Linked DNA regions of Neurospora crassa OR74A. The protein of the gene in region 2 interacts with the protein of the main gene of each other region in a pairwise test. Links are inferred from orthologs where the notes say so. Each region holds a gene or a part of one and is shown on either strand. Other genes may lie near its edges.

Region 1 (5,251 bases), on a different chromosome or scaffold from region 2:
CACAGCTGGGCATCCCTGAGAGGTTTGCAAAGTTCCCACTGGGCTCGCGCATTCTCCATAGGATCCCCCTGAACAATGCAAGTCAACTCCATACACTTCCAGTGTATTTCCTCGATCTTTGACTTTGGTACTGTCTTTGACCTTTCGATATAAGCAGGAACCAGGCTGGCGACATCCGGCTGGAAACTGGAGGAGTTGAGCCACTTGACACCCGGGGAAACCCCGCAAGCCTGAATAACTTCGTAGGCATTCAAATCCTCTTTGCAACGAATACAATTGCACTGGAAGTGATAGAGTCGAAGACTCTCTTGCCTTGCACGGCGAGGCATAGTGTGATCTGGCTGGCAAGTTAGAAGACGAGAAAACCCTCGCTTGCGAAAGGAATTACCATACCGATATATGAAATCAGAATCTCGTCGCCCGGTTCAAGATCCCTCTCCGCCTTGAGAAAGGCCTTGCGCTTCTCGAAAGCGATGTAGGCGTTCGGAACACAAGAGTGATTAACCATAGAAAGACTAGGGTGAAGATAGATGCCCGCCTGTCCCGTGTCGGCATCAAACCTGTTGAACGCATTCGTTTGGATCTAAGGTCGCCGCACTAGTCAGTTCACATCACACGTCGATACCCAGACTTCCACATCAAACTCACCTTGCACAAAACCTCCATAGCCTGCTTCAACGTCTCATCACTCTGCAACAAACCCGCATAAACCACCGCCCCCGTAGCCTGTAATTCGAAATCACCCCACAAGCCCTCATCAGTCTTGAACCCCTCCACATTACTCTCCAACGTACCACCAGGCCCAAACGCCTTGACAGTCTCCTCATCCCCAGCCTTCAACAACAGCATCACCTGCGCCACCGCCCTCACGGGAGTCGGCAACCAGTCCTTGCCCGTCCGCTCCTGGATTCGCTTGAACATCTTGCATTCGGCCTTATGCACCAGCTTCCAGTGCGCCCGCTGGCACTCGGCGTTGCAGTACACGGCCGCCTTGCAGCCCGTGCACGCCTTGCACGTCCGGGCCCCCGCTTCCACATCGCCCTCGAACTCGATCGTCCCGCTGACATAGAGGCAGTAGTTGCAGGTCGTCCGCATGTTGGCGTCGTCTGGGAGAGCGAGCAAGGGGTTTTCGATGATGGCGATGGTTTCGCCGGCGCCGAAGCGCTCCGTGGAGAAGAGGCTGCGGCCCCGGTCGACGCCGGGGATGCCGCCGATGCGGGTTTTGGGGATGGGAGATGGCAGTGAGGGCGCCATGATGGTGGTGCTTCTCTGCGAGTTTGGGTTGGGGTTTGTTGATGAGGTGAAGAAGAAATTCGGGTGTTTGTTTGTTAGAGGTTGCTGGGGTGACCGTTCTTATGTGTAACGCGAAAAGTTGAGGTGCCACCCGTTGATAGTGGCAACCGACGAGAAAGTTTGAAGAGAGCGAGAAGGATAAAATGCTGTTTCCAGTACAGTTTTCCGTTATACTCAACCCAGTAAGCCGCTTCGCCGTGTATTTCTCTTGGAACAAGATGGTCAGTTCGAGGATTGGCTCCTCAATGGACCTATCTATGTTGTCGAGGAAAAGTGAGAAGATGGTTGTCAGGAGAAAGTCAAGTCACTGTTTACTCGGTACTACATACCTAGGATCTCGGGCATGTACCCCGCCTGCAGCGAACAGGGGAAAGCGACGAAGCGACCCCTGGAAGCCCGCAAAATTCTGCCCCACAGAGCTGCTCTCATAGCGGGGCAACCACCTCCACGCACTACCTCTATCGTTGCTGCCGGCCCTCGTGGCCGCCCGATCAACTGGAACTGAACCTCGTTCAAACATCACATTCGGTTTTGTGAATTAGACACTCTTACATCTAGCCCATTCCTCTCTCGATTACAAACGAATAAGAAAGCGTAAAGATGTCTGGCAAGCAAGAAGGAGGTAAGTATCTCCCCTTTCACCGCTGCCCGCTCCTTTGAACCTTGCAAGCTCCCACTCATTCAAGGGAGCTTCATGTTCGCTCCTCCTCTAAAGCTCAATCAAGCTTCGAGCTCAAGCTTCACCTTACCTTCCCCATCCCCCCCCCTGGTCACCTCCCGCACTCATCTCACCCCCTTTAGTCCACACCATGATGCCGCCCCCATTCCCCGTTTGATGTTTCAATGTGTGGCAGTCACTAACAGACCTTCCCAGTCAACATTGAGAGCCTCAGCGCTCAACAACTTACCGCCGTCAAGCAGCAGCTAGACGAGGAGGTCGAGCACCTGACGGCCTCGTACACGCAGCTAGCTGCGGCGCAGGCCAAGTTCAAAGAGTGCTTGCGAATCGTGCAGACAGGAAGCAGTTCTTTTGATGGTATGTTTAGTTGACCTGTTTCCTTCATTTTTCTTTCATCTTGATGTGGTAGATGAGATGGGGTGGATCGTCTATGAGTATATTCGAAGGGCCGGGAGTTTGGGGGATGGGGATGGATTTTGTCAAGCTTCCACTTGACGGTCAACCTCTTCGTGAGCTTTTGTCTCATTCTCTGATGTGACCCGATGAGCTATCCCTTTTTTTCTCCAGTCCTCTTCATCCCACTTACAACCATAACAAACGTCTACACCTCATTTTACTTTTATCTACTCATCTCATGGCGGTGATGTCGCCATCCTCCACCTCCCCACGCCTCATATCTCCCATCCTCATATCCGATCAACACCCTTTCTTCCCACCTGCTGTTCCACCACGCCCATCCTACAATTCCATTCCCTTCATCCCGACCCAAGCCCAGCCGAACGCCTACCCTCCAGTCATGGTCACCGCTGACAACAAGACCCCATTCAACAGACAACAAAGACATCCTCGTGCCCCTCACCAACTCCCTCTACGTCAAGGGCAAGCTCTCCAACCCCGACCGCGTGATCGTCGATGTTGGTACTGGGTTCTACGTCGAAAAGGTACGTCTCTCCGCCACGAACGGCACTACATGTTATTAACTCGAAGCGTTCAGGACACCAAAAGTGCCACTGATTTCTACGATGCCAAGGTCAAGGAACTTGGCGCCAACATTCAGAACTTGGAAGCCATTGTCCAGGGAAAGACTAACAACCTCCGCGTGGTGGAAGAAGGTACGGCATTCTCCTCTTTTTCTTGAGCTGTCCGTGCATTTCAGCCATGGCATTGTTACTAACAAGAATCAACATCTAGTCTTGAGGCAGAAGGTGCTGGCACAAGGAGCTGGACCTGCATCGGCACAGGCATAGTGGAGAATCTGACTTGTTATTGTGTGATTAAGCGAAGCAAAAAAAAACAAACAAAAAACGACAAAAATACAACTTGGGCACAGCTACTTGGTGTATGTCCTCGATCTCCTTGAATACGCGTTGAGCCATTGACGATTATTATGACGACACACCCATGTATTCGAAGAACCGTTCCGCGACCTTGAGCTCAGCAGCCAAACATCACTACTTCAGCTCTTAATACCTCACCACGACAACTTTCCATCTACAACTGCTGATAGCCCGCGTCTGTCTATACAGTTCTTTCCAGCACCGTTTGGACCTTTCCAACCCAGTGCAATAAGGCATCAAGCGGGTCAAGATCCCTAGTGGGGTCAGCGGATGACATGGATGACTTGAAGAACTGTTCTGGAAACGCTTCCCAGGACCGCGGTCCGGCTGAAACGTCAGCATTGGCCATGTGGTCGTCCCACTCCGGTCGATACATGCTGACGCTCACACCAGCGACGGGCTCTTGAGGCTGTCGGCTCTTGGTGCCCGAGATAGTGCTCCACTGCCGGTACAGGGAAAGCTCAACGATGTAGTCCTTGTTGAGGTAATAGGACCAGGTCGTCTTGCCAATGAGAGCCTCAATATGGTGTTTCTGTGCGAAGGACGCCGCAATGTGAGGCTCAATACAACGGGTGTTCTCATTGTGACGAATCCTGATGCCCTTGCTCAGTGTATGTTGATCGAGTGGGAGCTTATTGCCGGTCTCATCGATGGGAGACTCGACTTTCAAGACCCAGTCGTGATTTCTGGGATGTGTTAGTTTGGCAAGGAAGTGAGAAAGATGCCGACTTACTTGTCAGGGCATGCTGTGGCAAGTTCGACACTACGGTGGCTCTTCTCTCGATGGAAGACGTTCAATGAGCCGAAAGTAAAACCACAGATTTGATTTTTATCGACGCTCACTTCCAGGTTGACATTTTTCGTCGTCACAATCACAAAGTTTTCTATGCCTTGGGGGCCTTCAAAGTCTGGATCGAGGGAGAAGGCATGTTGAATCTTTTCGCGCATTGATTCACCACCCAGTCTGAGCAGTGTTAGACATTAATCGCCTGGGAAAGCGACCAGAAAAAGGAGAACCAGAAGGGAAGACCAGAGTATACACTTACCTCATCTCCATGTAAGAAGTCCCTCTGCTGCTCACCCTGCGAGCCAACTTCGAGAACTCATCGAGCGTATAGCTCGTAGTACCCCGCTTGCGTTCTTTGAAGAACAGTTTGCCGAAAGCGATCTGCATGCGCATCCTATTGGGACAATACCGCAAGCCATCACCCACGCGGACCATCGCAGCAGCAAGATCGCTCTTGTAAGCTTGGACAGCCAAAGCATCGGCCACCTCAGTAGAGTCGGTGAGTGTCGCGGCTGGTCGAAACCATGTGGTTTCAGGGCTGTCCTGGAGAAGTATCCGTATGACACGCTTGTCGCTGCTGGGCGGAGCCACAAGTACTGAATCTCGCCAGACTGTCGCATGCCCTTCACGGAGCATCAAGCTCCTCAAGATGCTGCGTATGGCCGCCTGGGCGTTCTTGGGAGAAGCAGCGGAGATCTGGATGGGATCCTCCTGTGCTTTGAGGCAGATCCTGACACGGTGCTGTTGTTCGATCTGTTCCAAGATTGTCTTGAGCTCTCGGTCCTGGTCGTCTACAATGCGAAAGCCACGAGTTGGGACCACCAAGTCCACCTGTAGAAGAAAATATCAGTATACGTGAAATGGGGGTGAAAGCACTCTTCCTCAATAGACATAGACGTAGAACTGCGCTGCTTGAGAGAAAGGGGAAAGCTGAAAGGTACTCGCCTGAATGTTCAATACCTCAGACGCCTGGCCGCTGCGCTGCGACGAGGATGAGGCGCCCGAACGAGAATTGGGCAGTCGAGCTCCGGTGGCGAATGACATGGTGACTTGACAAACGCGGAGTGATTGCAAGTTGAGATCGAAACGTTATGAAGACGGGGAAAGATGAAAGAAGGAAGAAAGAGGAAGATGTAGAGGTAAGGAAGACGGCGA
Region 2 (4,962 bases):
GTCAGACCTATCCTGCAGCGGCAGTTGTCACGCTCGACAACATCGGAAGATACGGCCGAATTCATCGCCGAACGCTTGGCAGCGATAAGAACGTCGTCGCCTCTGCCTCCTCGCAGTCACAGGCTGACTGTCGCGCCGTTGCAGGTTGAATACGTCTCTGGGCAATTCCGTCGGCTGAATCCAGCCCCACTCCCTCCTCCGGCGATTTTCTATCCCCCGTTCAGTACCGATTCCAGCTGGGACGATGGCGATGATCTAGCTTCTGACGATGAAGAAGTGGAGGAGGTGGAGGAAGATTCTTACTCTGAGGGGCAGATCTCGCGCCGAGCAAATCCTCATTTCTCGGACAACAACACGTACATGCGGAAGGACGATTTGGCGTTCGATACCGAGACTGATGTGCGGATGGACAGCGACGACAATCGCTTGTCGGACAGCGGCCACAACATGCGGGCGATGATGCCGCGGGCAGAAGCGGTGGATGGGGACGACAGCCCATTGGCAGCCGTCACCGGAAAAGAGGTGGACATGCTGCACACTGGCAGCTCGGTTGCAACCGCTGGTGGGGCAGAGAGTGGCTATAGTAGTTCGATGGAGGACGTCTCATCCTCGTGAGACCTGAGTGGGTATTTTTCCTATGTGAGAAGAAGACGCGGGGAGCATACGAGAGCAAAAGGAACGCATTGCGGCTGGTGTCAGGAAATCAGGTACCGGTGTTCTCGAATTTTTGGCTTTGGCGGGCAAGCGGGTTGTTTCGAGCGCGCGGGTTCTTGGCTTTTGCCATTTTCAGGGGAGTTGCAATTGTCGCTTTTCGGGGACTCGATACGCATGATGGATATCCAACGAAGGTGATTGCCGGGTGAGGGATCTGGATCCCATGAATGGGGCGGCCATGGGTGGTGGGTGGTGGGTGGAGGGAGGGGGTGTTGAGTTGGGGACTTTTTGGGGCGTCTGGGTTAGTGTTGTTTGGATTTCAAACGGTGTGGCTTTTGGGTTTTTTTCTCTGGCTATTTTTTTATGGGGGGTTTTATCTTTCTTCTTCATCTTTTTATTTCTGATATTTTTTTCTTGGCTTCCTTGTAGATGACTCCGTGTGCAGAAAAAAACATACCTGTTTTTTTAAATTCGTATCAACGATTCGCAGTAGTAGCAGAAGGCCGGTGACATCAGTCGCAACGGGTGCACCCGTAAAATAAGGATTGGACTTGGTGGTAGGTCTGATGGGGCATGTAGTGTATATAGGATTTCAAAGTGAATCGATCACTAGTCCCGGTTCGTTGTCTCCACGATGGCCTCGCTGCCGGAACGTTTTGATGATCGAGCGGTAATCGTGGATCCCTAGGTCGGGCGTAAGACCCTCAGCGCATTATCAGCAAGCCCCTGATTAATCCAACGCTGGGCGGGCTACACAGACAGTATCAGGGTCGTCATCACAGTCCAACGGTCGGTTGTTTGTTAGCATGGGTCTTCTGATGAAGCCATCGCCAGCAGTACCATAGCACACAAAAAGACATGTACAAATATCTCAATCCAGGAAAAGACACGTCAAAAAACGAGGGCTTCACATGATCGTTTTGATTCCAAGCCTTCCCGATCCAGTGAAGCACATATGCTTGGATTCACCCGCCCAGAAACTCCCTTGACTCAAGGTCTCTCACTACCTAACAAAACTTTCCAGAGGTGAATTGTACTGTACGCGGGCAGGGGCCTGCCCCACCTTAATGAAATCGATTCGACCGGACTCCTGGCTGCAGGCGGGGGAGCGAGCTCAGCGAGGTGCGGGCGGGCAAGTCAGCCCTTGGGGTTCCATCCATGACCATATCGCACCTACCTCTACCTACGGCCCTACCTACCTACGTAAACAACGAGCTCGGCGCCAACCGAGGCACGCAAGTGGAAGCTCCCCGCCTTGATCGGTCTTTTCCTTTCCCCCTTACAACCCGACATGTAAGGTCCATACTCAGAATGGCAACCAAAGGAAAAGAAGTAGAAACTGCGGGTCGGTAAGTCAGTCCCAGTTGAACTACCTACTTACCTTACCTTACCTTACCCTACCTTGGCCAAGCATCAGAGCTTATGTTGGTGGTGACAGGACAAAGCAACGTCTTGCCCCTCTTGAACGACGAGTCTCATGTCATCACCCCTAACTTCAACAGTCGGACATGGCTCGAAGTATTCCTCATTGCTAGCATAGCCTAGCCTAGCCTAGCCTACCTATAGAAACACAAAACAAGCTGACCTGCTGCTCCCGCGTTCCGCCAAACCTACAGTGATGCCACGCCCGCGAACCCCCGAGGTATCCCCCAGGCGCCCTTCGTCGACAAGGTCGAGGACTATGTCACGTCTCGCGCGGATGTCGAACCCACCCTGAGGCGGTTCCAAGAGTTGATTGCCAAGTACCAATTCATGGAGCAGAACCTCCAGCGACGGGTGGTGGGCTTGAAGGATAAGATGCCGGATATCCAGAAGACGCTGGACACGGTGCGGTTCCTGCAGATGAGAAAGGTACGACACACACACACGCACACACGCACACACACCTCCGTCTTCAGGGCACGCGAACATACGGGCTATACAGCTAGCTATACAGCGGGCACAATACCAAATGCGCCCGGGGCGGGGGGAAAGGGTAATTGAGAACCAAAGGTCAAGGACGAGCATGAACAACAAGGACGTGGATTGATGTATGGATGGATGGACGAAGATACGGTCGCACACGAACAAGACACGCTGACAAGATCACCTTTTTACTTTGTCTGTTTTACAGGACGAATCAGACCCGATCGAAACCACATTCGAGCTCAACGAGACTCTCTACGCCCAGGCCAAGATCCCACCCACGGACGAGGTGTACATCTGGCTCGGCGCCAACGTCATGCTGTCGTATCCCATTGAGGAGGCCGAGCAGCTGCTTGACTCGAAGCTCAAGGCGGCGACGCAGAGCTTGCAGAACTGCGAGGAGGATCTGGATTTCTTGAGAGAACAGATTACGGTACGTGTTGGGCGGAGAACGCGAAGATGGTAGTTCTGTTACCGATCTTGGAACCTTGACTGACCTGAACGATGCGCCATAGACGATGGAAGTTGCGGTTGCCAGAGTGTACAACTGGGACGTCGTGCAGAAGAGGAAAGAGAAGGAGGAGGAGGAGAAGACAAAAGGAAAGAAGAGCGAGACGGCGTCGGACGGTTGAAGAGGAGATTAGGTCTAATACAGAAAGCGAGGAGATAATGCACCATCACGAAATGCCATGGGAGCGAACGACGGTTGAAGAATGTCTAATAGAGGGAGGCCGGCCGAGGTTGCTGCTGGCCGCGATCATGTGAGACGAGGTTCACGATGGCTTGGTAAGTTGGACTTGATTTGAAAGCAACATGATAGCGAACGATACCTCACAGATATTCTGCGTCGTATTACGCTCAGTAGCCATTTGTTCACGAGACAAAGGAACAAGGGCCACGCAAGCGGTTTGTCGTTTTGGAGAGACTGAAGTGGGACTGGCGAGATGAGGTTCGCTCTGGCCTAGGTCAAGGCTACGACCTCGAGAGATTAAAGAGAATTTGAGTTTGGCGGCCTCCAACGCCCATAGCCTCATGATCAAGGCACGATGATGACTTTTTATATTTCCCGCCCGGGTTCTTGGTTGTGATGGAAGTTACTGTCTATCACTTGGCTACAAGAGAGATCGACGCTATGGCTCATTGTTTAGATTGTCACGATACCTACCGCAAACATACACCGAGATAGCCTTACAACGTTACCAAAAGCCAATCCGAGGAGATCACGTGGCTGAGGGGGCGAGTTTGTCTGGTTGAGTTGTAGTGTAGTCGCGGATCGATCGTCGCCATCGTTTATCAAGTGGTGTACATACCCAAGTCTTATCCAGTCGAGACAGTCAGATGGGCGGGGGGCCAATGCGCATGTAGGCAGGGCGCTCGGGCGGCCGTTGACCTGTCTGTTTCGCTGTCAGTGTTTTGTCAAAAGTGAGCCACCCCCGCCCCCCTGGAAACTGAAACCCCTATTTCGGGAGTGAGGAAGCACATCTGTGGTCTTGACCGCCATGACGACGGCATTCGTTTCGGAGACGGGGTCCCGAGTCTTTTGACTCTGTCTCTGTTTGGTACGGCGGCAGGCGAACGGCAGACCAGGCCCGACCTGAATACTGGATGAGGTGCCCTGCGCCAACAGCAGAAAGCAGCTTAGCGGATGGGGCCCCAACGTCGGGTCCCAAGCGGGCAGGCGGCCCCCAGGGGCAGGCGGAATCTCAGGGGCCCCGGCCCTCTGCAACGGAACCCCAATTAAACGATCTCCATCACGGGCGGGCTCCGGCCTCCTTCCCCTTCCTGCCTGCCTGCCTGCCTTGACTCTGTAGACTCAACTGTGTACCCTTTCCCCTTCGGATCAACCCTTTTTGCCACGACTCAGCTGCGTTATCCATCTCCTATAACGCTACCTTACTTTCCAAGTTTGTACACATCATTGTCGTCTCTTCATTGTCTCCTGCCTCAGCTTCATAATACCCAACCCCAACCCCCCCGCTTCAGCCTACCTACCTACCTACGACCTCTACAACACCACAACCGCCAACATGGAGCTTGAACCCAAGTACGACGACTATGACTACCCTACCACCGCGCCCGACGCGCAGGAGGGCCACCCCGGCCATCTGACTCCCCAGCAGCAGGCCCAGGTCACTCAGCTTCGTCTGATGCTGGAGTCTGAGGGCTACACCAAGCGCCTCGACACCCTTACACTGGTATGCAATATGATGCTCGATTCGAGTGGGAGAGACGGAGAACAAAAAGAGGGGAAAGTAGTGGGATAGACAGGTGCTGACACATTCCGTAAACAGCTGCGCTTCCTCCGCGCCCGCAAGTTCGATGTCAACCTCGCCAAGCAAATGTAAGCGCGAAATCTGCCCAGTATCGCTCGAGTTTGAACAACAAAGCGCTGACCATCAAACC

The links. The genes of interacting proteins can lie anywhere in the genome.
Region 1: the proteins of NCU02264 (region 2) and NCU02963 interact in binary tests that used the Saccharomyces cerevisiae proteins (3 or more experiments, as listed by UniProt). The link is inferred for Neurospora crassa OR74A from reciprocal best matches to the Saccharomyces cerevisiae genes PAC10 and GIM5.

What each region holds. Positions count from the first base shown.
Region 1 is NC_026501.1:8,560,806-8,566,056, reverse strand, and holds NCU02963 (c-myc binding protein), read left to right. Parts: upstream 1-1,741; 5' UTR 1,742-1,893; coding exon 1,894-1,915; intron 1,916-2,167; coding exon 2,168-2,329; intron 2,330-2,803; coding exon 2,804-2,913; intron 2,914-2,966; coding exon 2,967-3,084; intron 3,085-3,163; coding exon 3,164-3,219; 3' UTR 3,220-3,490; coding exon of another isoform or gene 3,491-3,902; 3' UTR 3,903-4,042; downstream 4,043-5,251. Other genes in the region: NCU02962 (hypothetical protein), read right to left, coding at 1-337, 394-583, 649-1,254; NCU02964 (hypothetical protein), read right to left, coding at 3,491-3,902, 4,043-4,273, 4,356-4,927, 5,057-5,140.
Region 2 is NC_026507.1:3,135,548-3,140,509, forward strand, and holds NCU02264 (prefoldin subunit 3), read left to right. Parts: upstream 1-1,785; 5' UTR 1,786-1,812; coding exon 1,813-2,003; intron 2,004-2,270; coding exon 2,271-2,505; coding exon of another isoform or gene 2,506-2,637; exon of another isoform or gene 2,638-2,684; intron 2,685-2,767; coding exon 2,768-2,992; intron 2,993-3,074; coding exon 3,075-3,191; 3' UTR 3,192-3,775; downstream 3,776-4,962. Other genes in the region: period clock protein FRQ, read left to right, coding at 1-615; NCU02263 (Sec14 cytosolic factor), read left to right, coding at 4,587-4,754, 4,851-4,900. UniProt on the Saccharomyces cerevisiae protein: Binds specifically to cytosolic chaperonin (c-CPN) and transfers target proteins to it. Binds to nascent polypeptide chain and promotes folding in an environment in which there are many competing pathways for nonnative proteins.